4 linked regions of the Anolis sagrei genome follow. The protein of the gene in region 1 purifies or fractionates together with the protein of each later gene. This does not show direct contact. Links are inferred from orthologs where the notes say so. Each region holds a gene or a part of one and is shown in the gene's direction. Other genes may lie near its edges.

Region 1 (8,222 bases):
AAAATTCCTTTATTGGAAATCTCTTGAGGTATTCCTGTGCAAAAACACACAATATATATTCAAACACAAGCTGTGAAATACATGAGATAAATAATGGAATTTGGTACCACAAGATGGCCACCAATCTGAATGCTTTAAAATGGATGGTACAAAATGATGAAAAATCAATAAACTACTCATGCAAGCAATGTACTATCCAGAATTGGAGGCAACATGTGCCCTCAATCCAGGCCCGTAGCCCCCCCCCCCCCCCGAAATTCTCAGGGTGGTCCGCGAGAAGGCCTTACTGCTACATTATTTAAACGGTTATGTTTATTCATATCAGGATATGATCACCATGCTCAATATATCCCATATGCATGGGGGTATTGGGATAATGATAGAAAAGGTTTGCTAGAGTAGATCCTGAGCCCCCCCCCCCCCCGAATCAAAATCCTGGCTATGGGCCTGCCTCAACCCATCTACCTGGTGAATGGAATCAACAGTAGAAAGTTATGGCCTTCATGTCCAATTTGTTGTGGATCTGGTTCTCCATTAAGGTGGGAAAGGATCAGACTTAATATTGTTTTATTTCTAATGTATTTGGAGCTGTAGTGTTGCTCTTTGTTTATTGTCCTGATTTTAGAGGGTTTTTAAATATTGGTATCCAGATTTTGTTCATTTTCATGGTGTCCTCCTTTCTGTTGAAACTGTCCACATGCTTGATGAATTTAAATGACTTGTGAACAAAATCTGGCTACCAGTATTAAAAAACTAAAATCAGGACAGTAAACAAAAAGCAACACTCAAAAAACAGGAGAATTCCAAACAAAATTCTATCAGGGCCAGCTAACACCTCTCAACAAAGGACCCTCAGGCAGAAATCTGCCAGGTTTTGAAGCTACAAGGCCATTAAATGCTAATCAAGGTGGCCAATTGCAACATTCATACTTGCCTCGAGCAGACCAGAGTTCTTTCTCCCACCCTGGACATTCTACAGATACATAAACCTCACTTGCCTTGTTTCCAACAGACCTCACAACCTCTGAGGATGCCTGCCACAGATGTGGGGAAAACATCAGGAGAGAATGCTTCTGGAACATGGCCATATAGCCCAGAAAACTCACAAAATTGCAGTTGTTGCAGGTGAATTGACACATGACGCAAGGGATATTGATTTTCTAACATGGAAGCAAGGAGATGAAATAAAGATTGTAGAACTGTCCAGTTGGGAATAAGCAATACAGGTTGCCTGGAATACGAAATACTCTAACACTCAAAACTGAATTGCTGACATCTTTGCTTTCTGATGTGAACAAACTTTGTTCCATGCTCATAATTATTTAAAATATTCTATATAAGATGACCTTCAGGCTATGTGGATATGAAACATAAGTAAATTTCATGTTTAGATTTGCATCCCATCTCCAAAATATTACATTATGTGTTGGCAAGCACTAGAAGTGCTCTGCATTTCAGATTTTGGAATTCTTGCAGATACATAATGAGGGATACTCAAATCTGTAGTAATACTGGCTTTCCAAAAAAAGTTTAACTTTGGAAAATGCAGCTGGGCGGCCCTTGCCTTGTTATTATTTGCCCTTATTAACTGGCTTTTACACATTTTTTAGCATTTACATGCTAAATGACCAGCTAAATGACCAGCCACTGCCAGAAGGGACAGAGAGTTTCATCTTTGCTGACGATCGTGCCATCACTGCTCAAGCAGAACTTTGAAATGGTTGAACAGAAGCTCTTTGAAGCTTTAGGTGCTCTTACTGCCTATTACAGGGAAAACCAGTGGATTCCTAAGCCATCTAAAACACAGACATGTGCTTTTCATCTTAAGAACAGAGAAGCATCTCAAACTCTGAGGATTGCCTGGGAAGGAAATCCACTGGAGCACTGCAGCACACCCAAATACCTGGGAGCAGGGCTGTAGCCGGGGGTGGGTTAAAAGTTCAACCCCGCCCTGAAATGTGTCAGGCTAAAAAAGAAACATGGTTTACTCATAAATTGGTAAACCAGTCAAAATTCATGAGTAAACCAGGTTACCGGCGGGGGTGTTGAACCCTTTCGGAGGGGGGGGGGGGGTGTAAAACCCTTAAACTCCCCCCAACCCCCCCCCCCCCCCCCCCCGCTACAGCCCTGCTTGGGAGTCACTCTGAACCGTGGACTGAGTTATAAGAAGCATTGCTTGAATATCAAGCAAAAAGTGGGTGCTAGAAGTAATATCGTACGAAAGCTGACTGGCACAACCTGGGGATCACAACCAGAAACAGTGAAGACATCTGCCCTTGTGCTTTGCTACTTTTCTGCTCAGTACGCATGCCTAGTATGGAATACATCTCACTGCATTAAAACAGGATGTGGCTCTTAATGAGACATACTGCATAATCACGGGATGTCTACGCCTAACACCGCTGGAGAAATTATACTGTTTAGCTGGTATTGCACCACCTCATACCTGCAGGGAAGTAGCAGCCAATAATGAAAGGAACAAGGCATTGACATCTTCGGCCCATCCTCTGTTTGGATGTCAGCCAGCAAACCAATGGCTTAAATCAAGAAACAGCTTCCTAAGATCGAGAGAGATACTTGCAGGAACAGCTCAGCAAGCGAGAGTCCAAAAGTGGCAGGCTAAAATCCGGAACCTCGTTCAATGGCTGGCACCAAATGAGAGACTCTGCCCCTGGGCACACAGAAGACTGGGTGACTTGGAAGGCGCTGAACAGACTGTGCTCTGGCATCACGAGATGCAGAGCCAACCTTAACAAATTGGTGGAGTCCACGACATGCGAGTGTGGAGAAGAACAAACCACAGAAAACTTCCTACAATTTTGTAGTAATTCGTGACCACATCTCCCTCCACCAACCTGTACAATCCCTCTGATCCTCTGGGGAGGCCCTCCTCTTGCCCATTCCTCTATCACAAGCATGACTTGTGGGAATGAGGGAGAAAGCCTTCTCCGCTATGGCCCCCTGACTTTGGAATTCACTACCTGGTGAAATTAGGCAAGCCCCCACCCTAGCAGCCTTTAAGAAAGATCTGAAAACTTGGCTCTTCCGATGTTCCTTTGGAGAATGACCATTCACCCCATTTCTGTTTGTTCCACCTACAGTGTTGCCCCTGTGATGCACTTTCTCCCATCCTAAACTGAAAGCCTAACCCCACTGTCCATCCTTTTGGGCTCCTCTCAAATGCACTTTTTCTACTCCTACCTCATCCAGGGTTTTATCATTTTACCTTGTCCATGTGGCCCACCCATAATGTTTGATTTTATATTATGTTATTTTGCTTTGTTTACTATATTCTGCTATTGTATGTATTTTATTGTGATATAATTTTGCTGTTTTTTGTTGTTTGCATCTTGTATTTTATTTTGCTGTATTGTATTTTTGGGCTTGGCCTCATGTTAGCTGCCCTGAGTCCCTCTCGGGGAGATGGTGGCGAGGTATAAATAAAGATTATTATTATTATTATTATTATTATTAGAAACACAACAAGATGAGTCCACAGCAGGCACTCTTCTGGCTTTGTATTGGATCACACGTCGGACAATTCCCAAGTGTCTAGGACTGTGTGATGTATCGGCAAATAATGCGTGCAGATCCCAGTAAGGTGGTCTTCTGCAGCTGGCAGCTGGTAATTTTGTCAGCGCCGATTGTGTTTAAGTGAAGGCCAGGGTCTTTAGGCACTGCATCCAGTGTATCGATCACCACTGGGACCACCTTTACTGGCTTGTGCCAGAGTCTTTGCAGTTCGATCTTTAAATTCTCATATTGTGTCAGCTTTTCCAGTTGTTTCTCTTCAATTCTGCTGTCAGCCGGGATTGTAACATCGACAATCCATACCTTGTTTTTTAACACAATCGCGAGGTCAGGAGTTTTGTGCTCCAAAACTCTTGTATGTCTGAATTCAGAATTCTCAGAGGAGTTTGACATGTTCATTCTCTGTAACTTTTTCCGGCTTGTGATCCCATCAGTTCTTTGTCGCAGGCAGATGGTATTTGTGGCACAAGTTCCAATGAATCACCCGAGCAATGGTGTTATGCCTCTGCTTGTAGTCTGTCTGCATGATCTTCTTGCAGCAGCTAAGGATGTGAAGATTATTATTATTATTATTATTATTACAATGCAACCTTGAGCCCTGCCACATGTACAAGCGAGGACCTTCTTATAGCGACACCAGAGGCACTCCAAGTGGCCAGCTTCTGGTCAAAGGACATTTACCATAATGCCAAGTTTTTAAAACTTTGTTGGTGTTTTTAAATGCATTTAAACTGTACCCTGAACTTGCTTCTGACATTAACAAATAAAATAAAGAAACTGGTTTGCCTTTAGGTGTACCTACACCAGGCACGAGTAAACTTTGGCTCTCCAGGTGTTTTGGACTCCAACTCCCACAATTCCTAACAGCCTCGGGCCCTTTCCTTTCACCCCTCAGCCGCTTAAGCGGCTGAGGGGTGAAAGGAAAGGGCCCGAGGCTGTTAGGAATTGTGGGAGTTGGAGTCCAAAACACCTGGAGAGCCAAACTTTGCTCCTGCCTGATCTATACAGTATTATTAATACAGCCTTTTGTGTGACTGAAGGTGTATCTACACAGCAGAATTAATGCAGTTCGACTGCCATGCCTCAATAACATGGAATAATGGGATTTATAGTATTGCTGTGCTTGGCAAAAGTTTGTGCTGCTTTATAATGTCTTTGAGAAGTGTAGTTTTCCTAGTCTTACAGCTCCAAATCCCAGGATTTCATAACACTGAGTTAGTGTAAAACTGCCTCAACCCTACAGGCACTCACCTTTGGCCACAATGAGGACAAGCTGATTAATCCGGGCCCTCCTTTCAGAGCGAGGGAAAAGACCATTTCGCCTTCGCTCGTTCCTGATTGGCTAAGGTCGAAATGTTTCGCCCGCCGGTTGGCTGCCTGGCTTGGAGAAGGGCGGGGATAGAATGGCACACTGCCTGGCGATTGGGTGGTAGGGTATAAAAGGGCGCGGAGGCGGGCCCGTGCTCGGTGGTGCAAGTAGGGGCGGTGCAGCTATGTTATCTGCGAAGGGTTTTGGACAGACGACCAATATGGCGGTGCAGAAGGCGGTCTGCTTGCTGACGGCCGACCCGGCCTCCGGGAGCAATGTCTGCGGCGTCGTTCGCTTCGAGCAGCAGGCAAGGCTCTTCTGGGAAGGGAGCAGCCGGGAAGGAAAGGGATGGAAAGCCTGGGTTTGGGGCCGGAGAGGGAGCGAGGGAATCCAGCCATGCAAGCAGGCCCCTCTGTCACTGCCATGGCTCCACGCTAAGGCATCACGGGAGCTGCAGTCTTGCAAGGTTTTGGGCCTTCTCTGTCAAACTGCAAATCCCAGGAACCCCTGGCATTCAGCCCTGGCGCCAATCTGCATTAATTCCACAGTGTAGATGGCCCCTTAGCCCAGTTCCTTTAATGCTGGCTCTCTGTTAGGGTGCATCAAAGGCGATGTGTTTTAAAATAGTTGCAGTGAGTTTTGTCATTTTCAGATAATTATATTTTTAATTCCATTATAGGCTTTAAATTGCATACTGTATTGTATTGGTTGTGGTACTTTTCACTATAGTATATAAATATAATAATATAAATGATATTAATATAATTATTATTAATAATAATATAATCATATAGCCTCATTACGGGGTCCACTGTAAGCCGTTCTGAGTCCCCCTTCGGGGGTTGAGAAGTGACGGGATAGAAATGCGAAAAATAAATAAATGCTTTTGGTCGTATCAGGAGCAACTGCAAGTCGCTTCTGGCGTGAGAGAATTGGCTGTCTGCGAGGACGTTGTCCAGGGGATGCCCGGATGTTCTGATGTTTTACCATTCCTGGGGGGGGGGGGCTTCTCTCATGTCCCCCCATGAGGAGCTGGAGCTGACAGAGGGAGCTCGGCCGCACTCTCCCCGGATTCAAACTTGTGACCTGTCAGTCTTCAGTCCTGCCTGCACATGGGTTTAACCCACTGCGCCACCGGGGGCTCTTGATATTAATAATGATATGCATGATATTAATATAATATACAAGATGATGATAATAATATACATGATATTAATATGAGCTGTTCAGCAGTGGAACTCTCTGCCCCGGAGTGTGGTGGAGGCTCCTTCTTTGGAGGCTTTTAAACAGAGGCTGGATGGCCATCTGTCAGGGGTGTTTTGAATGCGAATTTCCTGCTTCTTGGCAGGGGGTTGGACTGGATGGCCCACGAGGTCTCTTCCAACTCTATGATTCTATAATATTATAATATACATAATATTAATTATAATATACATGATAATAATATATATGATATGAATATAGTATTATGATCTAATATTTATCGTATCAGGAGTGAACCAATGCATTTGAGAAAACACAAAGTTTAAAAACTTGGCATTCTACTAAATGTCCTTTGACCAGTAGCTGGCCACTTGGAGTGCCTCTGGTGTTGCTATAAGAAAGTCCTCCACTGTGCATGTGGCAGGGCTCAGGTTGCATTGTAATAGGTGGTCTGTGGTTTGCTCTTCACCACCCACATGTCGTGAACTCCACTTTGTAGCCCCATTTCTTAAGGTTGTCTCTGCATCTTGTGGTGCCAGATGTAATATGCAATATGTGTGTGTGTGTGTGTGCGCGCGCACAATATTCACAATGATATACATGATATTAATATAATATTATAGTAATAATATACATGAGGATTTAAAGATCGAACTGTAAAGACTGGCACAAGCCAGTAAAGGTGGTCCCAGTTGTGATCAGCACGCAGGGTGCAGTGCCTAAAGACCTTAGCCTGCACTTAAAAACAATCAACACTGACAAGATTACTATCTGTCAGCTGCAAAAGGCCATCCTTCTCGGATCAGCACACACATTATTCATTATCCAACGTGTGATTGAATACAAATGATCTTATTCACTCTGTACTAATCTTGTTATGCATCTAATAATAATAATAATAAAGAATAATTGCCACATTTGTATTTCTGAAGGCCAGGTTTTTGGTATGTGCTTCTCTCTCGTGACTTTTTGATACACAGGTTGAGTATCCCTGATCCAAAATGCCTGGGACGAGAAATATTTCAGATTTTTTTCAGACCTTTATTTGCATATATGTGCACAATGAGATATCTCTGAGGTGGTATCCAAGCCTATCTTCCTGGAGCCCCCGTGGTGGAGCAGGTTAAAGCACTGAGCTTCTGAAATTGCTCACTGAAAGGTTCGCAGTTCAAATCCGGGGAGCAGGGTGAGCTCCCGCTGTTAGCCCCAGCTTCTGCCAACCTAGCAGTCTGAAAACATGCAAACGTGAGTACATCAATAGGTACTATGTTGGAGGAGAGGTAACGGCCCTCCATGCAGCCATGCCGGCCACATGACCTTGGAGGTGTCTACAGACAGCGCTGGCTCTTTGGCTTAGAAATGGAAATCAGCACCAACCCCCAGACTCGGACACAACTGGACATAATGGACTTAACCTTTACTAAACAAAGTTTGTGTACATTGAGTCATCAGAAAGCAAAGATTCAAAGGGCAGAAAAAAGTTTCCAATTAAACATTAGTAAGAAGGATAGTAAGGTTAGTAAGAGATAGTTGGCAGTGGAAGGTACATCTTTGGATATCTCCTTCATTGGAGGTTTTTAAGGAGTGGCTGCATGCTCACCCGTTGGGAGTGCCTTGATTGTATTTTGTTGCATGGCAGAATGAGGTTGGACTGGATGGCCCTATAACTCTAAGATTCTGTATCACTGTCACAACCACCTGTATGGACAGTTTTGCATTTTGGAGTATTTTGGATTTCCCAATAAGGAATGCTCAACTTCTGTTTAGATATTAACACATGCACTTTTAGTCTAGTGTTTCTCAAACTGTGCCCCTCCAGGTGTTTTGGACTTCAGCTCCCAAAAATCCCAGCCAGTGTACCAGCTTTTAGAAATTGTGGGAGTTGAAGTCCAACATCTGGAGGAGCATAGTTTGATGAGAAACTGGTCTAGATCACTTTGCTGTAAACTGTGAGTCCTGTCCCCAAAGAGGGTCCCTTTAACTCATTGTTGGGGGTCATAAAAATTGGCAACAGTAAAGGATTTCTGATTGCAACTCACTTACACAATCTGTTAGCAACGAATGGTGCAAACAGTGGACATGGCAAAAAATGCACAGCATCCACAAAAAGGAAAATCAGCCTGTTTCATACGCTTTGTAAATGCTGATTTATTATCAGTAAATGTTTTATTTTTATAAT
Region 2 (8,501 bases), on another chromosome or scaffold:
TCCAGAAGAGGCAAGACAATACACACATCGGGCTGAGCCTGTCTCCTAAAGTGCTCTCTTTCTGCTTCCAAGGGCCCTTCCACACAGCCATATAACCCACAGCATCAAGGCAGAAAATCCCACAATATCTGCTTTGAACTGGGTTATCTGAGCCCACACTGCCATATATCCCAGTTCAAAGCAGAAAATGTGGGATTTTATTCAGCTGTGTGGAAGGGGCCCATGTGTCTGTGCTGGTTGATGGTGGAGGAGGAAGAAGATGCAGTTTCAGGACCAAACATGGGAGGGCTGCCATCAGAACCAGAGGCTTTCCGTCCGCCTTCTGCCTTCCTTTTGTTCTGGACGATGCTTATAGCCCACACCTCAGTTTGGTTGCCTTGCTCAGACACAAGCACCTCCTTTTTGTTCAAGTCCAGAGGCCCTCTTCCACTCCAGATATCTTTGAGCTATTGGAAGTAATCTGCCCCAAGGAATAATCATCATCATCATCTATCCTGACTCTGTCAAAATTTGATATAATGTGATCTCACATAAAGTAAACAGAAGAAGAAGAACTTTATTTTTCTACCCCGCCTCCATTTCCCCGAAGGGACTCAGGGCGGCTTACATGGGGCCAAGTCCAGGGAACATAACAATTAAAAGCAGAGCAATAACAAAATGCAATTTAAAAGCATAAAGCAAACATAATAATAGACAAGCATCAAGCAACAAAAGAACTAAGGGTGTGTTTCTCCCTTTCGCCCTCCATTGTGCCTTCAAATTCTGCAGCACTGCCAGTCACAGCTGACCTCCAGTTAGAGTGCTCAAGGGCCAGGGCTTCCCAGTTCTCGGTGTCTATGCCACAGTTTTTGAGGTTGGCTTTAAGCCCATCTTTAAATCTCTTTTCCTGTCCATCAACATTCCTATTTCTATTCTTGAGTTTGGATTTGATTATGTACTACATAACGGTTCTGGCCCAAGTTACCTATCCGATCGCATCTCCGCCTACGAACCCACTAGGACTTTGAGATCTTCCAGGGAGGCCCTGCTCTCGATCCCGCCTGCAACACAGGCATGGCTGGCGAGGACGAGAGACAGGGCCTTCTCGGTGGTGGCCCCTTGGCTGTGGAACACCCTTCCCACAGACATTAGATCAGCTCCCTCATTGATGGTATTTCAGAGAAAAGTGAAAACCTGGTTATTTGAACAGGCGTTTGAATAGGCAGTGCAATGAATTTTAGGAAATGGAACTACGGATGACGAGTTTGGATCATGATTCTAGTTATGAGACGCCAATGAATAAATGTTTATTGTTGTTTAATTGCTTAGTCTGCTATTGGGTTTATTTGTTTTTAAATACCTTGTTATGCTGCATTGAATTTTTGCTATTATTGTTGTTAACTGCTGTGAATCACCTAAGGGCTGAGAATAGCGGTATACAAGTGAAGTAAATAAATAAATAAATAAATAAATGGTAGAAAGGGTATGGATTAGATGGCCCTTGCAGTTTCTTCCAAGGACCCTTCCACACAGCCCTTTATCCCATAATATCTAGGCAGAAAATCCCACAATAAATGCTTTAAATTTGGTTATCTGAGTCCACACTCAGATAATATGGGATAATGAAAGGATCCATGTGAGGGGGAAACTCCCAGGGCCCTTCCACACAGTCCTATAACCCAGAATATCAAGGCAGAATAACCCACAATATCTGCTTTAAACCAGGTTATCTGAGTGTACACTGCCATATATTCCAGTTCAAAGCAGAAAATGTGGGATTTTGTTTAGTTGTGTGGAAAGGGCCAAAATAAGGACCGCATAATGAAACAGGCGAAAGCGAGGAGGAGCTGAGGAACCTTCTAATCAAGGTGAAAGAAGAAAGCGCAAAAGCTGGGTTGCAGCTAAACATCAAAAAAACCAAGATTATAGCAACAAGAATGATTGACAACTGGGAAATAGAGGGAGAAAACGTGGAGGCCGTGACAGACTTTGTATTTCTAGGCGCAAAGATTACTGCAGATGCAGATTGTGGCCAGGAAATCAGGAGACGCTTACTTCTTGGGAGGAGAGCAATGTCCAGTCTCGATAAAATCGTAAAGAGTAGAGACATGAGACTGGCAACAAAGATCCGCCTAGTCAAAGCCATGGTATTCCCTGTAGTCACCTACGGATGTGAGAGCTGGACCTTAGGGAAGGCTGAGCGAAGGAAGATCGATGCTTTTGAGCTGTGGTGCTGGGGGAAAGTGCTGAGAGTGCCTTGGACTGCGAGAAGATCCAACCAGTCCATCCTCCAGGAAATAAAGCCCGACTGCTCACTGGAGGGAAGGATACTAGAGACAAAGTTGAAGTACTTTGGCCACATCATGAGGAGACAGGAAAGCCTAAAGAAGACAATGATGCTGGGGAAAGTGGAAGGCAAAAGGAAGAGGGGCCGACCAAGGGCAAGATGGATGGATGGCATCCTTGAAGTGACTGGCTTTTTTTTTTTTTTTTAATATTTTTTATTGGTTTTTGCATACTATACAGGGGTGAGGAAAAAATAGGGGAAGGTAGGAATTAGGGTAGGTGGGTTTGGGATTGGGGGATGGAAAGGGGGGAGGGGAAAGGTTCCATCACCAACACCGTTTTCTTCTGTACTCTGACTTCCCAGGGTTTTTCAAGAGTCTTATTCTTCTGGTTGCTAGTCCTTCAGACTCTGATTTGTTTCTGCTGACAAAGCGGTAGACATTTCGTTGTTCTCTTCTAGAACTTTGTAAGATCGATCATGATGGGAATTTCTTTTGTTTTTAAATAGTCCGTAAAATCTGTCCAGTCAGTTTTTTTCTTAACTCCGTTTATTCTTTCAGCTAGATTATCCATTTGTATTATATCGAAAGCTTTAATAATCCATTCTTCTAATGTTGGTGTTTCCTTCTGTTTCCACTTTTTTGCAATGACCAGTCTGGCTGCTGTACTCAGTAAAAATAAGACTTTGTCCTGATTTCGATTTAATTTGGTCTCCTTGAGTATTCCTAATAAGTAAGTCTCGGGGGCTTTTCTGAAAGTTAATTTTAGTATTTTTTGGGATGCCCTATGGATCTTATTCCAAAATCTTTTGATATTTGTACAAGCCCACCATTGGTGGAAAAAAGTGCCCGTTCTTTTTTCGCACTTCCAGCATTTATCCGAAATTGTATTATTTTTTTTAAATCTAGCTAATTTCTCTGGCGTATAGTGCCATCGATAGAACATTTTGAACCAATTTTCTTTGATGTCACTGGCTGCCGAATATCTAATTTTTGTTGTCCAAATTTCTTCCCATTGGTCTGACGTGATAGTATATCCAAAATCTCTAGCCCATTTTATTTGGCATTCTTTAACCTGTTCTTCTTCCGTATTCCAAGTTTGTAATTGTTTGTATAGTATTTTTATTAATTTTTTCTCTTTCTCCATAATTATGTCCCACAATCCCTTGTTTTGTTCAAATCCTAATTTTTCGTCCTTTTTGTATCCCTCCCGAATTTGGTAATAGGTCAACCATGTGGCTTTGGGATTTATTTTTTGGAGTTCATCATAAGACTTTAAGATTAAATTTCCTTCTTCGTTTTTCTTTAGGAGTTGTTTGTAAGTGGGCCAATTTTCAATCCCTAATTCTTTTTTCTGTTTTGCTTCCAATGTTGAAATCCAGAGTGGGGTGTATCTAAACAGTCTATTTTTATGTTTTTCCCACGTTTTAATGAGGGCTGCTCTTATTATGTGATTTGCAAAATTTTTTTCTATTTTCCGCCGATCATACCACAGGTAGCTGTGCCACCCGGCTCTTAAATCATGTCCCTCTAGTGTTAGTATATGGTTATTCTCTAATTTTGTCCAGTCTTTGATTGCAACCAAGTTGCACGCCTCGTAGTATGTCCTAAAGTCTGGCAGTCCCATCCCACCTCTCTTTTTATCATCCGTCATTATTTTTAGACTGATTCTCGGCCTTTTCCCTTTCCATATGAATTTGATTACGTCCGAATTCCATTTTTTGAAAAGGTGGTTATTTCTAATCACTGGAATAGTTTGGAACAAGAATAATAATTGTGGTAGCACAATCATTTTAATTAATGCAATTCTCCCCATGAGGGAGTGATTTTGGTTCTTCCATTTCGCCAGATCCTTCTGGATTTTTTTCCAGAGTACTTCATAATTATTTTTAATTAGTGCAATATTACTTTTGGTTACGTGTATTCCTAAGTATTTTATTTTGGATACCGTCTGGATTTCTGTTACTTTATGTAGCGTGTCTTTTGCTTTCTCATTCATATTTTTGGTTAATAATTTAGTTTTTTGTTTGTTTAACTTGAATCCCGCAAGATTACCAAAATCTTCAATTTTTTTTAGCCAATCTTTGATATTGTTTATTGGGCTTTCAACAAAGCACACTACATCGTCTGCGTAGGTTTTTAATTTATATTCTTTTTTTTGAATTCTCGGCCCTCTTAAATTTTTATCGTTATTTATGTTTTTGACCAGAATTTCCATGACTAGAATGAAAAGTAAGGGGGACAATGGGCATCCTTGCCTTGTACCTTGTGAGATTGGTATTGATTTTTCGGTCTCCTGTCCATTAATTACCAGGGTGGCCTCTTGTTTTCCGTAAATTGCATTTATTACATTTCTAAAACAAAATCCCATATCCAATTCTTTAGCTAGCAATTTTATGAAACACCAATTTACCTTATCGAATGCTTTTTCGGCATCTACAAAGAGTAGAGCCAGAGCCTTTTCTGTATGTTTTTCGTAATATTCAATTATGTTGATTAGAGTTCTAGTATTGTCTTTTATTTGTCGGTTAGGTAAAAATCCTGATTGTTCTTTTGATGTCCATTCTTTTAGAAAATTTTTTAATCTTTCTGCCATAATTGTGGCGAATAGTTTATAATCATTATTTAGGAGCGAAATTGGGCGATAATTTTTAATTTGGGTTGTTTCGGTGTTTTCTTTATGTAATAGAACTGGCTTGACCTTGAAGCCAGTGACTGGCTTGACCTTGAAGGAGCTGGGGGTGGTGACGGCCGACAGGGAGCTCTGGCGTGGACTGGTCCATGAGGTCACGGAGAGTCGGAGACGACTGAACGAATGAACAACAACATAATGAAACAGGAAATTACAGACCTCAAAACATCTGAGGATATTTGCCATAGATGCAGGCGAAACGTCAGGAGAGAATGCTTCTAAAACAGCCCGGAAAACCTACAACCCAGGAAATTGCACTCTCAAACCGGGAACAGAACATTTCCCAAATAGAGATCTCTTTCCCTCCTCCAGAGTGCAAAGGGGCGGGGCCTATGTGACGTCAGCAGGGGCGAATGGGCGTGGCTTCGCTGAGGCGTTCTTATAAGAGCGACCGCCGCGCCGTGCGACCTTGCCATCTTCTCCTCCTCCGTCGTTGCCGCCTCCCTTCTTCCTCTCACTCTCCACCCGCACCATGGCGCCAAGGAAGTTCTTCGTGGGCGGGAACTGGAAGATGAACGGCGACAAGAAGAGCCTCGGGGAGCTCATCAAGACCCTCAACGGGGGCAAGGTCGCCGGGGACGTCGGTAAAGCGGGGCCGGGGAGCCGGGGGGGGGGAAGGAAGGGAGGGGGAGCGTTGCTGGGGAGCGGTTCAAGCCACGCCCCCTTGCGGCCAAGCCACGCCCCCTCTCCGCCGCGTGCCCTGCTGCACGTAGCCCCGCGCGCGGAGGCTCCCCATCCACTGCTGCGCCCTTTGCAAAGGCATTGGAAGCCGGTGGTTTACTTTGGCCTATATTTTCTACATGCATTTGACTAGGGGAGTAGACACCTTTTCCCTTTCATGAGCAGTTTTTCCCCTTGAATGCATTTAAAAGAAGTTTATAGTATAATAATATAATAATAATATAATGTAATCTATATAAATAAAAATGCAATGTTCGTTTGTGGGATTAACAGAACTCAAAAACCAGTGGGCGAATTGAGACCAAATTTGGACAGTATGCACCTAACAACCCAATGTATAGCCTTCACTCAAAAAATTTTGATTTTGGCATTTGGAAGTTGTAGTTGCTGGGATTTATCGTTCACCAACAATCAAAGAACATTCTGAACCCCACCAACGAAGGAATTGAACCCAACTTGGCACACAGTTCTCCCATGACCAACAGGAAATAATGGAAGGGTTTGGTGGGCAGTGTCCTTTGGTTTTGGAGTTGTAGTTCACCTACACCCAGAGATCACGTTGGACTCAAACAATGATGGATGTGGACCAAACTACAAGATTACTCAATATGCCCAGATGTGAACACTGGTGGAGTTTGGGGAAAATAGAATCTTGACATTTGGGAGTTGTAGTTGCTGGGATTTATAGTTCACCTACAATCACAGACCATTCTGAACCCTACCAATGATAGAATTGGGCCAAACCTCCCACACAGAATCCCCATGTGGGCCACAGCAACGCATGGCAGGGGATGGCTAGTACAATATAATATTATAATGTAATACAATATAATACGATATAATTATATATTTTGTGTTACATGTGATATTACTAATATAACAATATGGGAGATGGTGGTGGGGTATAAATACAGTTTATTATTATAGTACAATGTAGTAATATATAATACTGATATTGTACTATGCTAATAATATAATATATTGCATATTTATGTATGTGTGTGGGTGTGTGTGTATATATATATCTTCTAATCTGCTCTGAGTCCCCTTCGAGGTGAGAAGGGCGGCATATAAATAAGTGGGTTAAAAATACTCTTTTTCAGCACATGAATATGTTCTTTATATTACATGTAATATGACTAATAATATTACAATTTATTTATTTATCGTGTCAGGGGCAACCAGACAATTGTATTACATTTCTAACAGAACAAAACAAACATACATACAAAACACAAAATTTGCAAGCTTGGTAGTTGATTAAATGTCCTTTGACCAGTATCTGGCCACTTGGAGTGCCTCTTGTGTTGCTGCAAGAAAGTCCTCCATTGTGCATGTGGCAAGGCTCAGGTTGCATTGCAGCAGGTGGTCAGTGATTTGCTCTTCTCCACACTCGCATGTCGTGGATTTCACTTTGTAGCCCCATTTCTTAAGGTTGGCTCTGCATCTTGTGGTGCCAGAGCGCAGTCTGTTCAGCGCCTTCCAAGTCGCCCAGTCTTCTGTGTGCCCAGGGGGGAGTCTCTCATTTGGTATCAGCCATTGGTTGAGGTTCTGGATTTGAGCCTGCCACTTTTGGACTCTTGCTTGCTGAGGTGTTCCAGCGAGTGTCTCTGTAGATCTTAGAAAACTATGTCTTGATTGAAGTCATTGACGTGCTGGCTGATATCCAAACAGGGATATCAGCTTTTGATGAGCTGGAGATGTCACTGCCTTAGTCCTTTCACTATTGGCTGCTACTTCCCGGCAGATGTCAGGTGGTGCAATACTGGCTAAACAGTGTAATTTCTCCAATGGTGTAGGGCGCAGACACCCCATGGTAATGGGGCATGTCTCATTAAGATTGTAATTATATTACAATATAATGGTATAGTGCAATATCTTAATATATAATACTGATATTGTACTATTCTAATAATATAATATAATATATTGTATGTATATGTGTGTGTGTGTGTGTGTGTGTATATATATATATATATATATATATATATATATATATATATATATATCTTGTAAGCCGCTCTGAGTCCCCTTCAGGGTGAGAAGGGCGGCATATAAATGTCATAAATAAATAAAAGAAGTGAGTTAAAAATATTCTTTTTCAGCACATGAATATGTTCTTCATTTTACCTTAATCCCCACATTAATCTTGCCCATTGGAATCAATACTTTTTTAGTTAAGTTGTGTTTCATGAACCATTAGTGTCCTGTTGGGTCTACTCTTTTGAATGTTGGATCTATCCCAGGCATGAGCAAACCTCAGCCCTCCAGGTGTTTTGAACTGTTAGGAATTGTGGGAGTTGGAGTCCAAAATACCTGGAGGGCCCAGGTTTGCCCATCCCTGATCTAGCCTGATCTAGCCTTTACTACAGCCTTTACTTTTTTGTGGTATGCAGTGATTCTCACACTCTGCTCCTATGGGTGTTTTGGACTTCAGCTCCCAGAACCCAACTATTAGGAATTGTGGGAGCTGAAGTCCAAAATATCTGGGGCAGCACAGTTTAAGAAACACTTCTACTGCAGTGATAGGGCTTATGCAGTGCTCCAGATATTATTATGCCACTGTGGAGTCCCATCATCCCTAGCTTTTAATTCTGGATATGGCTTTTTAACTGCCTAGAGTTTTATTGTTGTGGAAAGTGTTTTATTGGTTTTTATTATGATTTGTTTTCTGATAGAATGCTTATATGGTTTATTTATTTATTATTTTTGAGGCATCAAATGACTGTCTTCACGTTGTAAGCTGCCCTGAGGTCCCATGGGGGGGTGGGATGGGATATAAATAAAGTTCGATTGATAGCTCGCATTGCCAACAGAGAGGAATGCTAGCAATGTAGAAACGATTCTCAAAAATTCCACCCAAA
Region 3 (8,014 bases), on another chromosome or scaffold:
GATTTCATATCACAAAATCACAATCGAACCTTTCCCAAGCGTCTAGGACTGTGTGATGTATTATTATTATTATTGTTATTATTATTATTATTATTTTACTGTCACAAAAGCACAGTATGTCACAGCAAACGAGATCTCTATGCTGGGTTTCGTATCACAAAATCACAAGTCAAACACTTCCCAAGCGTCTAGGACTGTATGATGTATTTTCGAATGATGCGCACAGATCCAAGTCAGGTGGCCTTTTGCAGTTATTATTATTATTATTATTATTAGCTAATGTAATAATTATTATTATTAATGTTATTACTATTATTAGCTAATGTAATTATTATTACTATTATTAGCTAATGTAATTAATAATAATAATAATAATAATGTTGTTATTATTATTATTATTATTATTATTATTATTAGCTAATGTAAGCCAGGCCGGAGATAGATAATATAGAAGGAATGCCAGAGTTCTTTAATTGTGAAACCCTAACCCTTACCCTAATCCTGAACCATACCAGAATCGTAACCCTAACCCCTTACCCAAACCCTTACCCAAACCCTAAACCTTACGCTAACCCAAACCCTAAACCTTACCCTAACCCTAACCGTAAAAGGTAAAGGTAAAGATTTCTCCTTGACATTAAACCTAGTCATGTCCGACTCTGGGGGTTGCTGCTCATCTCCATTTCTAAGCCGAAGAGCTGGCGTTGTCCTCCTAGGTCAGGTGGCCAGCATGACTGCATGGAACGCCGTTACCTTCTCACCAGATCTATTGATCTACTCACATTTGCATGCTTTTCGAACTGCTAATAGCGGACGCTCACGCCACTCCCTGGATTTGAACCGCCGACCTTTCGGTCAGCAAGTTCAGCGGTTTAACCCGCTGTGCCACTGAGCGGCCCTTAATATAATATTATATAAACTGCTAGGTTGGCAGTTTGAAACCCCTAACCCTAACCCCTAACCCTGCCCTAACCCTTACCCCAAGCATCCCCTCCTTTCTATCCTTCCTTTGCTCTCCCCGCTCTCCCTCCGCTCCCTCTCTTCGCTTTTCCCAGCCGCGTTTGCGGCATCTCCGTAACGCTCGGAGCTTCCGTACACACCTATCATACTATCACCGAGTTCTTTCTCTCACCTTGGACCTTCAAAGAACTCTTGTCTGTTGGAGGCAAGTGTGGATGCTGCAATTGGCCACCTTGATTAGCACTGAATGGCCTTGCAGCTTAAAAACTTGGCTGGTTTCTGCCCGGGGAAATAATGTCCAGGGTGGGAGAAAGAACTCTTGTCTGTTGGAGGCAAGTGCGGATGCGGCAATTGGCCACCTTGATAAGCACTGAATGGCCTCGCAGCTTCACAGACTGGCTGGTTTCTGCCTGGGGGAATAATGTCCAGGGTGGGAGAAAGAACTCTTGTCTGTTGGAGGCAAGTGCGGATGCTGCAATTGGCCACCTTGATTAGCAATAAATGGCCTCGCAGCTTCAAAGCCTGGCTTCTTCCTGTTAACACATCCCAACAAAGGACTTCCTCAGGCAGGAAGCAGCTAGGCTTTGAAGATACAAGGCCATTCTTTGCTATAATCAAGATGGCGAATTACAGCATCCACACTTGCCTCCAACAGACAAGAGTTCTTTCTCCCACCACAGATATATCAACCCCATTGTCCTAGTTTCCAACAAACCTCACAACCTCTGAGGATGCCTGTCATAGATGTGGGCGAAACATCAGGAGAGAATGCTTCTGGAACATGGCCAGGCAACCTGGAAATCCTCACAGCAACACAGCGTAGGATTTGCCCCAAATTCCCCATAGATTTGAAGATTATTTCAGCCTTGCGGCTTCAAAGCCTGGCTTATTCCTGTTAACACATCCCAACAAAGGACTTCTTCAGGCAGGAAGAAACCAGGCTTTGAAGGTACAAGGCCATTCAATGCTAATCAAGGGGGCGTGGCCTGGGAACGCCCCGCCCTCACCTGAATGCGAAGAGGGAAGCCGCCGCCGGGCTTCACGCCCCGCACGTGAGAAGTCAGCATGTTGTGCGTCAAAAGCTTCATCCTCGCACGACGCCGGTGGCCGGGCCGGGAAACCGTCTGCGCATGCGTGCCGCCACTCCACCGCTCTAACGCCCCCTTTTTCCTCTCACTTCCGGCGGCTAATTTCGACACACTTCCGGTGAGTTAGTGCAACGCTAATATCGAATGTACGGGAAACCAGATCTAAATGCGACACCGTTCCGGGTTGTAATATTTCATTTAAACCAACATCCCCACTATTTAAATATTTAAATAAATGAAATAAAATATATAAATAAATATAATATTAAAATGCAATGTTAATATAACATATACAATGTTCTATATATAAAATATAATATCAACGAAATGTTTCAATAAAATAATAATTATTTATGATTATTTGTTTGTTTGTTTTAGTAGAATAATGCCCAGGGTGGGAGAAAGAACTCTTGTCTGCTTGAGGCAAGTGGGAATGTTGCAATTGGCCACTTTGATTAGCATTGAATGGCCTTGCAGCTTCAAAGCCTGGCTGGTTGCTGCCTGGGGGAATCCTTTGTTGGGAGGTTTTAGCTGGCCCCGATTGTTTCGTGTCAGGAATTAGATCTTCTTGAACCATTTCTAGAGCATTATACTATTACAATATTATTATATCTTCTTGAACCAATGCCTCGAGTATTATTATATCTTTTTGAACTAATTTTTGATTGATTCTTGAGTATTATTATTATTATACTATACTTCCCTGAACCGATTATTATGATATTATTCTCATATCTAACCCTAATATTTCCTTGCAGCTTCAAAGCCTTGCAGCTTCAAAGCTTGGCTGCTTCCTGCCTGGGGGAATCTTTAGTATTGAATAGCCTTTTAGCTTCAAAGCCTGGGTGGAAATCCTTAGCATTGAATAGCCTTGCAGCTTCAAAGCCTGGGTGGAAATCCTTAGCACTGAATAGCCTTGCAGCTTCAAAGCCTGGGTGGAAATCCTTAGCATTGAATAGCCTTGCAGCTTCAAAGCCTGGGGGGAAATCCTTAGCATTGAATAGCCTTGCAGCTTCAAAGCCTGGGTGGAAATCCTTAGCATTAAATAGCCTTGCAGCTTCAAAGCCTGGGTGGAAATCCTTAGCATTGAATAGCCTTGCAGTTTCAAAGCCTGGGGGGAAATCCTTAGCATTGAATAGCCTTGCAGCTTCAAAGCCTGGGTGGAAATCCTTAGCATTGAATAGCCTTGCAGCTTCAAAGCCTGGGGGGAAATCCTTAGCATTGAATAGCCTTGCAGCTTCAAAGCCTGGGTGGAAATCCTTAGCATTGAATAGCCTTGCAGCTTCAAAGCCTGGCTTCTTCCAGCCTGGGGGAATCCTTAGCATTGAATACCCTTGCAGCTTCAAAGCCTGGCTGTCTCCTGTCTGGGGGGGGGAATCCTTAGGATTGAAAAGCCTTGCAGCTTCAAAAACTGGCTGTCTCCTGTCTGCGGAGGGGAATCCTTAGCATTCAATAGTCTTGCAGCTTCAAAGCCTGGCTGTCTCCTGTCTGGGGGGGGGATCCTTAGCATCGAATAGCCTTGTGGCTTCAAAGCTTGGCTGTCTCCTGTCTGGGGAGGGGAATCCTTAGCATTGAATAGCCGTACAGCTATTGAATGCCTTACAGCATTGAATAGCCTTGCAGCTTCAAAACCTGGCTGCTTCCTGCCTGGGGGAATCCTTAGCATTGAATAGCCTTGCAGCTTCAAAGCCTGTCTGACACTTGCCTGGGGGAATCCTTAGCATTGAATAGCCTTGCAGCTTCAAAGCCTGTCTGCTTCCTGCCTGGGGGAATCCTTAGCATTGAATAGCCTTGCAGCTTCAAAACCTGGCTGTTTCCTGAATGGGGGAAACTTAGCATTGAATAGACTTGCAGCATCAAAACCTGGCTGCTTCTTGCCTGGGGGGAATCCTTAGCATTGAATACCCTTACAGCTTGAAACCCTGGCTGCTTCCTGACTGGATGAATCCTTAGCATTGAATAGCCTTACAGCTTTAAAGCCTTAGCATTGAATAGCTTTGCAGCTTCAAAACCTGGCTGCTTCCTGCGTGTAGAATCCTTAGCGTTGAATAGCCTTGCAGCTTCAAAGCCTGGCTATCTCTTGTCTGGGGGAATCCTTAGCATTGAATAGCCTTGCAGCTTCAAAGCCTGGCTGCTTCCTGCCTGGGGAGAATCTTTAGTATTGAATACCCTTGCAGCTTCAAAGCCTGGATGCTTCCTGAATGGGGGAATCCTTAGCATTGAATAGCCTTACAGCTTTAAAGCCTTAGGATTGAATAGTTTTTCAGCTTCAAAGCCTAGCTGCTTCCTGCCTGGAGGGAAATCCTTAGCATTGAATAGCCTTGCAGCTTCAAAGCCTGGCTGCTTCCTGAATGTGGGAATCCTTAGCATTGGATAGCCTTACAGCTTTAAAGCCTTAGCATTGAATAGCCTTGCAGCTTCAAAGCCTGGCTGCTTCCTGCCTGGGGGAATCTTTAGCATTAAATACCCATACAGCTTTAAAGCCTTAGCATTGAATAGCCTTGCAGCTTCAAAGCTTGGCTGCTTCCTGCCTGGGGGGAATCCTTAGCATTGAATACCCTTACAGCTTTAAAGCCTTAGCATTGAATAGCCTTGCAGCTTCAAAGCCCGGCTGCTTCCTGCCTGGGGGGAGGATCCTTTCAGGGGAGGTTAGCTGGCCCTGATTATTTCCTGTTTTTCTGAGCGTTGTTCTTTATTTACCATGCTGATTTTAGAGGTTGGTTTTTAATACTGGTCGGCAGATTGTGTTCATTTCCACGTGGTTGTACTTCATGCAAATGAGATGCAGATGAGCCACCCCAGGCCCCGCCCCTTGCGTTGGCCCCGCCCCCTGACTACCCGCCCTCCGGAGGGGAGAGGGAGACTTGGGAGGCAGGCCCGGGGTTGCCAGGGCAGCAGCCGTCACTCCTGCGATTTCCATGGCAACGGGGTGGCGAGGGGCGGGGGTGCTGGCTTTGGCAGGCAGGGCTGTTTTGGTGCAGGCCCCACTCCTCGGCATCCGTGGAGCGCAGAAGGGCCGGTATTTCGGGACCGGAGCAGCAGCCATGGCCGCCCTCAAGGTCAGTCGCCTCGGGGCGGGTCCACACCGGAGAGTTAACGCGGTTTGGCCCCTCCGGGAGCCGTCATTAGAGTTGGCAAAGGCTCGAGAAGGGCCTGAGTGAGGCCTAGGCCTGGAATGCCTCCTCAGGAGGCATTCCAGGCCTAGGCCTCACTCAGGCCCTTCTCGAGTTGCATTGACTGTGTGTGAGGCATTCCTCTTAAGGGCTGGAATACCATATTTTGTGTGTGTGTATTTATGTCTATTGTGCATTGTAGTTTCTGCATGTGATTATGTACAGTAGTCTCTTCTCCAACATCAACGAAAATAAGCGAAAATGTGGACTAAAAAGGAGGAATCTGGAGAACAAGCCCTATGAGGAGCGGCTTAAAGAGCCCGAGAAGAAGAGAAGCCTTTCTGTATGGGATTATGTACAGTAGTCTCTTCTCCAACATCAACGAAAATAAGCGAAAATGTGGACTAAAAAGGAGGGATCTGGAGAACAAGCCCTATGAGGAGCGGCTTAAAGAGCCCGAGAAGAAGAGAAGCCTTTCTGTATGGGATTATGTACAGTAGTCTCTTCTCCAACATCAACGAAAATAAGCGAAAATGTGGACTAAAAAGGAGGGATCTGGAGAACAAGCCCTATGAGGAGCGGCTTAAAGAGCCTGAGAAGAAGAGAAGCCATTCTGTATGTGATTATGTACAGTAGTCTCTTCTCCAACATCAACGAAAATAAGCGAAAATGTGGACTAAAAAGGAGGGATCTGGAGAACAAGCCCTATGAGGAGCGGCTTAAAGAGCCCGAGAAGAAGAGAAGCCTTTCTGTATGGGATTATGTACAGTAGTCTCTTCTCCAGCATAAACGGGCCAAGAGCAGAACGTTGGATAAGCGAAAATGTGGAGTAAAAAGGAGGGATCTGGAGAACAAGCCCTATGAGGAGCGGCTTAAATAGCCTGAGAAGACATGAAGAAGGCCAGGGATAAATATGTGAGAGGGAGGAGGGGGAGAACTTGTTTTCTGTTTCCTTGAAGACTAGGACGCGGAACTATGGCTTCAAATATGCCTGCAGGACAAGGACTGTTTACAGACGTCACATGCAACTCCTGGAACGATTCCATGAGCGCTGCCTCCGGAAAATCCTGCAAATCTCTTGGGAAGACAAGCGGGGAAATGTCAGCATGCTGGAAGAAGCAAAGACCACCGGCATTGAAGCAATGGTCCTCCGCCATCAACTCCGCTGGGCTGGCCACGTTGTCCGGATGCCCGACCACCGTCTCACAAAGCAGTTGCTCTACTCCGATCTCAAGAATGGAAAACGGAATGTGGGTGGAAAGGAAAAGAGATTGAAAGATGGGATCAAAGCCAACCTTAAAAACTCTGGCTTCCCAGTTCTCAGGGTCAATGCCAGAGTTTTTAAGGTTGGCTTTGATCCCATCTTTCAATCTCTTTTCCTTCCCACCAACATTCCTTTTTCTTTAAAAACTCTGGCCCTTGAGCACTCCAGCTGGAGGTCAGTTGTGACCAGTAGTGCTGCAGAATTTGAAGAGGCATGAATGGAGGAAGAAATAAACATGCCAAGAGGAAGACGCGTCAAGCCAACCCCAACTGGGACCGCTTTTCACCTGGAAACCAATGCCCTCGCTGCAGGAGAAGATGCAGGTCAAGAATAGGGCTCCATTGCCACCTACGGACCCACCCTGGAGGATTATCCTACGAAAAGAGATTTAAAGTAGTCCACGCTCTGGTTACATCGCGTTTAGACTACTGCAATGCTCTCTACGTGGGGTTGCCTCTGAAGACTGCCTGGAAGCGTCAATCAGTCCAACGTGCGGCAGCCAGATTGCTAACAGGAGCGGGGTACAGAGACCATACGACCCCTCTGTTACGCCAGCTCCACTGGCTGCCGATCAGCTTCTGTGCACAATTCAAAGTGCTGGTTCTGACCTATAAAGCCCTAAACGACTCTGGCCCAGTTTACCTGTCCGAACGGATTCTCCCCTATGAACCATCAAGGCTATTAAGATCTTCCAGGGGGGGCCTGCTCTCGGTCCCACCACCCTCGCAATCACGGTTGGTGGGGACAAGGGACAGGGCCTTCTCGGTGGTGGCTCCCCGGCTTTGGAACTCCCTCCCACTAGAGATCAGATCTGCTCCCTCCCTCCTGACATTCAGGAAATTACTAAAGACATTTGGAATGTGGCATTTGAGGACTGAATCTAGAACCTCCCCCTGTGATGAATTATGATGAACTGTGACTACAAGTATGACTATGACCATGACTGGATTGACGATTTGGCTTAGGTAATTGTGATGATGATGTTTTATTGTACTGTATTGTACTATTTTAATATGTAATGACTTTGCACTTGTTGTTCTTTATATGATTGTATTTTATATATGCTGTAAACCGACCTGAGTCCCTCGTCGAGGTGAGAAGGCCAGTATAGAAAACTTCTAAATAAATAAATAAAGATGGGCTCAAAGCCAACCTTAAAAACTCTGGCATAGACACTGAGAACTGGGAAGCCCTGGCCCTTGAGAGCTCCAGCTGGAGGTCAGCTGTGACCAGCAGTGCTGAGGAATTTGAAGAGGCACAAATGGAGGGCAAAAGCGTACCTGTCCGAATGTATCTCCTTCTATGTCCCATCTTGGAGTTTAAGATCTTCTGGGGAGGCCCTGCTCTCGGTCCCACCTTTAGGCTTGGGCAATGCATGGTTCTAAATGGTTCTAAAGTACTTACAAAACTAAAGTTCTGGTAGTGAAAATTTCAGAACTCTAACAAAACTTTCAAAATTTAATTATTATTTCATTATTGGTGATTTTAATGACAGAACCAATTAGGAACTGCCATTTATTATGAAATTTTGAGAGTTTTGTTAGAGTTCTGAAATTTTCACCACCAGAACTTTAGTTTTGTAAGTACTT
Region 4 (8,081 bases), on another chromosome or scaffold:
TTGGTGGGCGATTGACCTTGAGTTTTGGAGTTGTAGTTGCTGGGATTTATAGTTCACCTACAATCTAAGAGCATTCTGAACTCCACCAATGATGGTATTGAACCAAACTTGGGACACAGAACTCCAATTGACCCACAGAAAATGCTGGAAAGGTTTGGTGGGTGATTGACCTTGAGTTTTGGAGTTGTAGTTCACTTACATCCAGAGAGCACTGTGGACTCAAGCAATGATGGGTCTGGACCAAACTTGGCACGGATACTCAATATGCCCAAAAGTGGTGGAGTTTGGGGGAAAAAAACCTTGACATTTGGGAGTTGTAGTTGCTGGGATTTATAGTTCAGCTACAACCAAACCCTTCCAGCATTTTGGAGTTGTAGTTCACTTACATCAAGAGAGCAAGGTAGACTCAAGCAATGATAGATCTGGACCAAACTTGGCACGGATACTCAATATGCCCAAATGTGGGGAAAAACGACGACATTTGGGAGTTGTAGTTGCTGGGATTTATAGTTCACCTACAGCCAAACCCTTCCAGCATATTGGAGTTGTGGTTCACTTACATCGAGAGAGCAAGGTGGACTCAAGCAATGATAGATCTGGACCAAACTTGGCCCAGATACTCAATATGCCAAAATGTGGGGGGGAAAGATCTTGACATTTAGGAGTTGTAGTTGCTGGGATTTATAGTTCACCTACAATCAAAGAACATTCTGAACCCCACCACTGATGGAATTGAACCAATCTTGGCACACAGAACTCCCATGACCAACAGAAAAAAATGGAAGGGTTTGGTGGGAATTGATCTTGATTTTGGGAGTTGTAGTTCACCTACATCCAGAGATCACGGTGGACTCAAACAATGATGGATCTGGACCAAATTTGACACAAATACTCAATATGCCCAAATGTGAAGACTGGTGGAGTTTGGGGAAAATAGACCTTGATATTTGGGGGTTTTAGTTGCTAGGATTTATAGTTCACCTACAATCCAAGAGCATTCTGAACTCCACCACTGATGGAATTGAACCAATCTTGGCACACAGAACTCCCAGGACCCACAGAAAATACTGGAAGAGTTTGGTGGGCACTGAACCTTGAGTTTTGGAGTTGTAGTTCACTTACATCAAGAGAGCAAGGTGGACTCAAGCAATGATAGATCTGGACCAATCTTGGCACTAATACTCAATATGCCAAAATGTGAACAATGGTGGAGTTTGGGAAAAATAGACCTTGACATTTGGGAGTTGTAGTTGCTGGGATTTATAGTTCACCTATAATCAAAGAGCATTCTGAACTCCACCAATGATAGAATTGAACCAAACTTGGCACACTGAAAATACTGGGTTTGGTGGGCATTGACCTTGAGTTTGGGAGTTGTAGTTCACTTACATTGAGAGAGCAAGGTGGACTCAAACAATGATGGATTTGGACCAAATTTGGCACAAATACTCACTATACCCAAATGTGAACACTGGTGGAGTTTGGGAAAAATAGACCTTGACATTTGGGAGTTATGGTTGCTGGGATTTGCAGTTCCCCTACAATCAAAGAGCATTCTGAACTCCACCAGCGATGGAATTGAACCGAACTTGGCACACAGGACTCCCATGACCAGCAGAAAATACTGGAAGGGTTTGGTTGGGCACTGACCTTGAGTTTGGGAGTTCTAGTTCACCCACATCCAGAGACCACTGTGGACTCAAACAATGATAGATCTGGACCAAACTTGGCACAGATACTCAATATGCCCAAAAGTAGCAGCTGCTCATTCGAATGCTAATAAAGCAGGCCTCTTCTTGCCCAAACAGATGCCAAGGCTAACAGGAATGCTCTCTTCTCCCCTTGCATGAGAAAGAATCCTCTTGTTCTTAAACAGGCATGCGCAAGGCCTGATACTGTCTGCTGTGAATCTGGATTCCCAGGAAAAACCATGTGGCTATCTATCGTAAAGACATGTATTCATGCTACGGGAAATATGACACACACATGAAGACTTGACTGCATTGTAAACAACGTTGTAAACACTCGCATGGCGTGGATTCCACTTTGTGGCCCCATTTCTTGAGGTTGGCTCTGCATCTCGTGGTGCCCGAGTGCAGTCTGTTCAGCGCCTTCCAAGTCGCCCAGTCCTCTGTGTGCCCAGGAGGGAGTCTCTCATCTGGTATCACCCACAAATTGAGGTGCTGGGTTTGAGCCTGCCACTTTTGGACTCTCGCTTGCTGGGGTGTTCCAGCGAGTGTCTCTGTAGATCTTAGAAAACTATGTCTTGATTTAAGTCGTTGACGTGCTGGCTGATACCCAAACAGGGATGAGCTGGAGATGTCACTGCCTTGGTCCTTTCACTATTGGCTGCTCCTTCTCGGCGGATGTCAGGTGGTGAAATACCGGCTAAGCAGTGTAATTTCTCCAGTGGTGTAGGGCGCAGGCACCTCGTGATAATGCGGCATGTCTCATTCAGAGTCACATCCACTGTTTTAGCGTGGTGAGATGTGTTCCACACTGGGCATGCGTACTCAGCAGCAGAGTAGCACAGCGCAAGGGCAGATGTCTTCACTGTGTCTGGTTGTGATCCCCAGGTTGTGCCAGTCAGCTTCTGTATGATATTGTTTCTAGCACCCACTTTTTGCTTGATGTTCAGGCAGTGCTTCTTGTAGGTCAGAGCACGGTCCACAGTGACTCCCAGGTATTTGGGTGCGCTGCAATGCTCCAGTGGGATTCCTTCCCAGGTAATAATCCTCAGAGCTCGGGATGCTTGTGTGTTCTTAAGGTGAAAGGTACATGTCTGTGTTTTAGATGGATTAGGGATCAGCTGGTTTTCCCTGTAAGAGGCAGTGAGAGCACCTAGAGCTTCGGAAAGCTTCTGTTCAACCATCTCAAAGCTCCCTGCTTGAGCGGTGATGGCACGATCATCAGCATAGATGAAACTCTCTGTAAATATATGGTATGAAAATATATATTGTAAGCTGCTCTGAGTCCCCTTCGGGGTGAGAAGGGCGGCATAGAAATGCAGTAAATAAATAAATAAATAGATGCCAATTTTCAGAGACTTGGTACGAACCGGCCCCTGGTAAATCTGTTTGCCTACATTAATTCCCTGTTGCTTTTGCCTTTTCCTTCTCTTTCTTTCTCTTTCCATTGATGCCAGTACCACTTAACTCCCTTTCGCGGCGGTGTGTTGACACACAAAAATCCAGCTGCGTGTGGCAAATCAACAAAAGAGTGTGGTCATGATGAGCATGACTGCATGGAGCACCGTTGCCTTCCTGTCAGAGCAGTACCTATTGATGTACTCACATTTTGATGTTTTTGAACTGCTAGGTTGGCAGAAGCTAGGGCTGACAGCGGAAGCTCACACCGCTGGGGATTTTCCATCCTTGAAAAAAAGAAAAGAGAGAAATTAAATATATTTTTAAAAGGAAAGAAAAAAGTCTCCTTCCTCTCTCTTTTTTTGAATTGCATTTTTGTATTGTATTTTTTGTTTTGTATAGTAATTTTTTTTTTGTTTTGTATTGTACTTTTTGTATTGCATTTTTGTATTTGCAAAAAATGGGGATTTTCCATCCTTGGAAAAAAGAAATAAATTAAATGCATTTTTTTAAAAAACAGGAGAGAAAGAAAAAAAGTCTTTTTCCTTTGCACTCTCTTTTTTTTGTAGTGTATTTTTTTGGTTTGTATTGTATTTTTATTTTATTTTTTGTATTGCATTTTTGTATTGTATTCTTTTTTTGTATTGTATTTTAATTTTATTTTTTTTATTGGATTTTTGTATTGTATTTTTTTGGTTTGTATTGTATTTTTATTTTATTTTTTGTATTGCATTTTTGTATTGTATTCTTTTTTTGTATTATATTTTTATTTTATTTTTTGTATTGCATTTTTGTATTGGATTGTTTTTGGTTTGTATTGTATTTTTATTTTATTTTTTTGGATTGGATTTTTGTATTGTATTTTTATTTTATTTTTTGGATTGCTTTTTTGTATTGGATTGTTTTTGGTTTGTTTTGTATTTTTATTTTATTTTTTTGTATTGCATTTTTGTATTGTATTTTTTTTGTTTCGTATTGTATTTCAATTTTTTTTTGTATTGCATTTTTATTTTATTTTTTTGTATTGCATTTTTGTATTGTATTTTTTGTTTCGTATTGTATTTCAATTTTATTTTTTTTTGTATTGCATTTTTATTTTATTTTTTGTATTGTATTTTTTTTGTTTCGTATTGTATTTCAATTTTATTTTTTTTGTATTGCATTTTTATTTTATTTTTTTGTATTGCTTTTTGTATTGTATTTTTTTGTATTGTATTATTTTTTTGTATTGCATTTTTGCATTGTCTTTGCAAAAAAATGGGGATTTTCCATCCTTGAAAAAAAAAGAAAGAAATTAAATGCGGGTGTTTTAAGAGTGAAAAAAAGGAGAGAGAAAAATTCTCCTTCCTTTCCTTTGCTCTCTCGCTCTCTCTCTCTCTTTGAGCAAAAAGGAAGGCGTTTGTGCACGTAGCGCACGCGCCAGAAAGGCTAGGCGAGCCTGGCGAGAGGCGCGTCCTGACCAATCAGGAAGGAGCCGGGGACCCAGCCAGCCAATAAAAAGCCGAGTCCCGGGCATTGATTTGCATACGCCCGGGTTATAGCTCAGCGCGAGCCAGGCGGATCTTCCCCAGTTGCACAGGAAGCAGCAGCCTTTGCAATTCTCTTGCTTGGTTCTTTTTGCAAACAGTAAGTAGTTTTCTATCATTGTAAGTTACTTTTTTTTTTGCATTGCCAGGCGCTGTTCTTAGTCCTAGGTAAGTGCATGGGTGTTAGTGTATGTGATTATTATTTGGATAATATATTCTAAATTCCTGCAATGGATTTGGTTGCAAAGGGAACAAAGGACCACTTTGCATCCTTTCCCAAATATCTAGGTAGTTTTTTAAGGTCCTCTTCCATCAGAGCAGGGCCCAAAATGCAAAAGGAAGGCCCTAAATAAAGGAGAAGTGAACCTATCATGGGCTGAGAGAGTGTGACTATTTAATGTATTTTTCATATATTTATTTTTCTAATATAATATATATTAATATAAAATGATATATTAGAATCTAATATTATATTTAAGTGCATGTTAACATATGATAGTAATTTAATATTGAATATAAATATTAAATTACTATTATATATATTTATGTTCATATAATATATTATTATATATTTATTTATGTTCATATAATATACTATTATGTATTTATTTATTTATGTAAATAAATAATAACAGTATAATCATGTAGTATGATATAATAATATAATATTAAGTGCATATTTAATATATAATAATAATTTAATATTTTTATTTTTATAATATGATATTATATATTATTATTATAATGTAAAATGATAATATTATATTAGAATATAATAATATAATAAGAAAGTAAATATTTAATATTTAATAGTAATTTAATATTGAATATAAATGCTGTAAATAAATAATTACAGTATAATCATGTAGTATGATATAATAATATAATATTTAAGTGCATATTTAATATATAATAATAATGTAAAGTGATAAATGTTATATTAGAATATAATAATATAATATCTAAGTGCATATTTCATGTATCATAATAATTTAATATTGAATATAAATCCTGTAAATAATTAATTACAGTATAATCATGTAGTATGATATAATAATATAATATTTAAGTGCATATTTAATATATGATAATACTTTAATATTGAATATAAATGCTGTAAATAAATACAATATAGTATAATATATAATATAATACTTAAGTGCATATTTAATATATAACAGTATACTATTTAAGTGCATATTAATATTTTATAATAATTTAACATTGAATATAAATGCTATAAATAAATAATATTCCTATTTGGAGCTAGGGTTGGAATTCTCCAGGCCTAGATAAAAATAATAATAAAACTTTGTTTATTGAACTATTTTATTGATTTATTTTATATTTATATTATATTTTTATTTTTTCCAATGTTTTCCCATGTGGGTTAACAGCAAACATGACCCAATATACTTGAAAACTTAAGCAACTGCAATAAAAAAATATATGAATTTAATAACATGTGTGGCTTGGAAGATAAAAATATTAAAATACATTTAAAGGTATACTTAAAAGTTCACATGCCCTCCAAAATCCCATTCATTGCTCAAGGTCATTTGTGGCTGAGTGAGGATTTGAATCCTGTGCTCCGGAGTCATAGTCCAACACTCATAATCTGATTTCTTGTTACCTAATAAGGGATTATGATGGTTATTTTGCAAGATTTCTTTGGGGGAGGCTTTCCCCTTGCCTTCCTCCGAGGCTGAGAGAGTGTGACTTTGCCCAAGGTCACCCTGGTCTCCCACATCTGAGAAACCGCTCTGCGTTCATTGGTGCCTCTTAGATCTTATCAGGAGAAGCATAATAATAATAATATAATTTTAAGTGCATATTTAATATTCCCATTTGGAGCCAGACTTGGAATTCTCCAGGCCCAGATAATAATTATATAATATCATCAGATAATAATTATATAATACCGTAATGTAATATAATATTATAATATAGTAGGATAATACAATATATTCTAATATAGTATAATAATACTTGAGTGCCTATTTAGTATTCCCATTTGGAGCCAGGCTTGGAATTCTCCAGGCCCAGATAATAATTATATAATATAATATTATTATATAATATGATAATATAATATATTCTGATATATTATAATAATATTTTGAGTGCATATTTAGTATTCCCATGTGGAGCCAGGCTTGGAATTCTCCACGTCCAGATAATAATTATATAATATCATAATGTAATATAATATTATAATATAGTATGTTAATGTAATATATTCGAATATATCATAATATTGGAGTGCATATTTAATATTCCCATTTGGAGCCAGGCTTGGAATTCTCCAGGCCCAGATAATAATTATATAATATCATAATGTAATATAATATTATAATATGATTATTTATTTATTTATTTATTGGCTTTGCTTATATACTATATATAGTGCATATTTAGTATTCCTATTTGGAGTCAGGCTTGGAATTCTCCAGGTCCAGATAATAATGATATAATATGATAATGTAATATAATATTATAATATAGTATGATAATATAATATATTCTAATACAATATAATATTTGAGTCTATATTTAACATTCCTATTTGGAGCCAGGCTTGGAATTCTCCAGGTCCAGATATTATTATTATTATATATGATATTATAATATAATATAATAACATTTCAGTGTATATTTAATATTCCTATTTGGAGCCAGGCTTGGAATTCTCCAGGCCCAGATAATAATAATAATAATATAATAATAATAATAATAATTATTATTATAATAAGATATTACAATATAATATTTAAGTGTATATTTAATATTCCTATTTGGAGCCAGGCTTGGAATTCTCCAGGCCCAGATAATAATTATGTAATATAATATAAGAATATTATAATATGATGATATATTATAATATTTAAGTGCATATTTAATATTCCTATTTGAAGGCAGGCTTGGAATTCTCCAGGTCCAGATAATAATAATAATTATCATTATTATTATTATTATTATTAAATGATATAATATTACAATATAATATAATATTTAAGTGTAGATTTAATATTCCTGTTTGGAGCCAGGCTTGGAATTCTCCAGGTCCAGATAATAATAATAATAATAATAATAATAATTATTATTATTATTATTATTAAATGATATAATATTACAATATAATATAATATTTAAGTGTAGATTTAATATTCCTGTTTGGAGCCAGGCTTGGAATTCTCCAGGTCCAGATAATAATAATAATAATAGTAATTATTATTATTATTATATAATATGATGTTATAATATAATATAATAATATTTAAGTGTATATTTAATTGTCCTATTTGAAGCCAGGCTTGGAATTCTCCAGGTCCAAATAATAATAATTATTATTATTATTATTATTATTATTATTTTATTATATGATAATGTGATATTACAATATAATAATATTTAAGTGTATATTTAATATTCCTATTTGGAGCCAGGCTTGGAATTCTCCAGGTCCAAA

Evidence for each region.
Region 2: the proteins of SOD1 (region 1) and TPI1 purify together in Homo sapiens (affinity purification with mass spectrometry; 3 studies listed by BioGRID, with this or other methods). This does not show direct contact. The link is inferred for Anolis sagrei from reciprocal best matches to the Homo sapiens genes SOD1 and TPI1.
Region 3: the proteins of SOD1 (region 1) and PRDX5 fractionate together in Homo sapiens (co-fractionation; 3 studies listed by BioGRID and IntAct, with this or other methods). This does not show direct contact. The link is inferred for Anolis sagrei from reciprocal best matches to the Homo sapiens genes SOD1 and PRDX5.
Region 4: the proteins of SOD1 (region 1) and ENO1 fractionate together in Homo sapiens (co-fractionation; 3 studies listed by BioGRID, with this or other methods). This does not show direct contact. The link is inferred for Anolis sagrei from reciprocal best matches to the Homo sapiens genes SOD1 and ENO1.

The regions. Positions count from the first base shown.
Region 1 is NC_090023.1:68,915,795-68,924,016, forward strand, and holds the start of SOD1 (superoxide dismutase [Cu-Zn]), read left to right. Parts: upstream 1-4,978; 5' UTR 4,979-5,024; coding exon 5,025-5,147; intron 5,148-8,222. UniProt on the Homo sapiens protein: Destroys radicals which are normally produced within the cells and which are toxic to biological systems.
Region 2 is NC_090022.1:198,088,688-198,097,188, forward strand, and holds the start of TPI1 (triosephosphate isomerase), read left to right. Parts: upstream 1-5,342; 5' UTR 5,343-5,428; coding exon 5,429-5,540; intron 5,541-8,501. UniProt on the Homo sapiens protein: Triosephosphate isomerase is an extremely efficient metabolic enzyme that catalyzes the interconversion between dihydroxyacetone phosphate (DHAP) and D-glyceraldehyde-3-phosphate (G3P) in glycolysis and gluconeogenesis.
Region 3 is NC_090032.1:16,793,004-16,801,017, forward strand, and holds the start of PRDX5 (peroxiredoxin-5, mitochondrial), read left to right. Parts: upstream 1-4,883; 5' UTR 4,884-4,966; coding exon 4,967-5,107; intron 5,108-8,014. Other genes in the region: TRMT112 (multifunctional methyltransferase subunit TRM112-like protein), read right to left, coding at 1,968-2,048. UniProt on the Homo sapiens protein: Thiol-specific peroxidase that catalyzes the reduction of hydrogen peroxide and organic hydroperoxides to water and alcohols, respectively.
Region 4 is NC_090033.1:2,612,147-2,620,227, forward strand, and holds the start of ENO1 (alpha-enolase), read left to right. Parts: upstream 1-4,613; 5' UTR 4,614-4,712; intron 4,713-8,081. UniProt on the Homo sapiens protein: Glycolytic enzyme the catalyzes the conversion of 2-phosphoglycerate to phosphoenolpyruvate. In addition to glycolysis, involved in various processes such as growth control, hypoxia tolerance and allergic responses.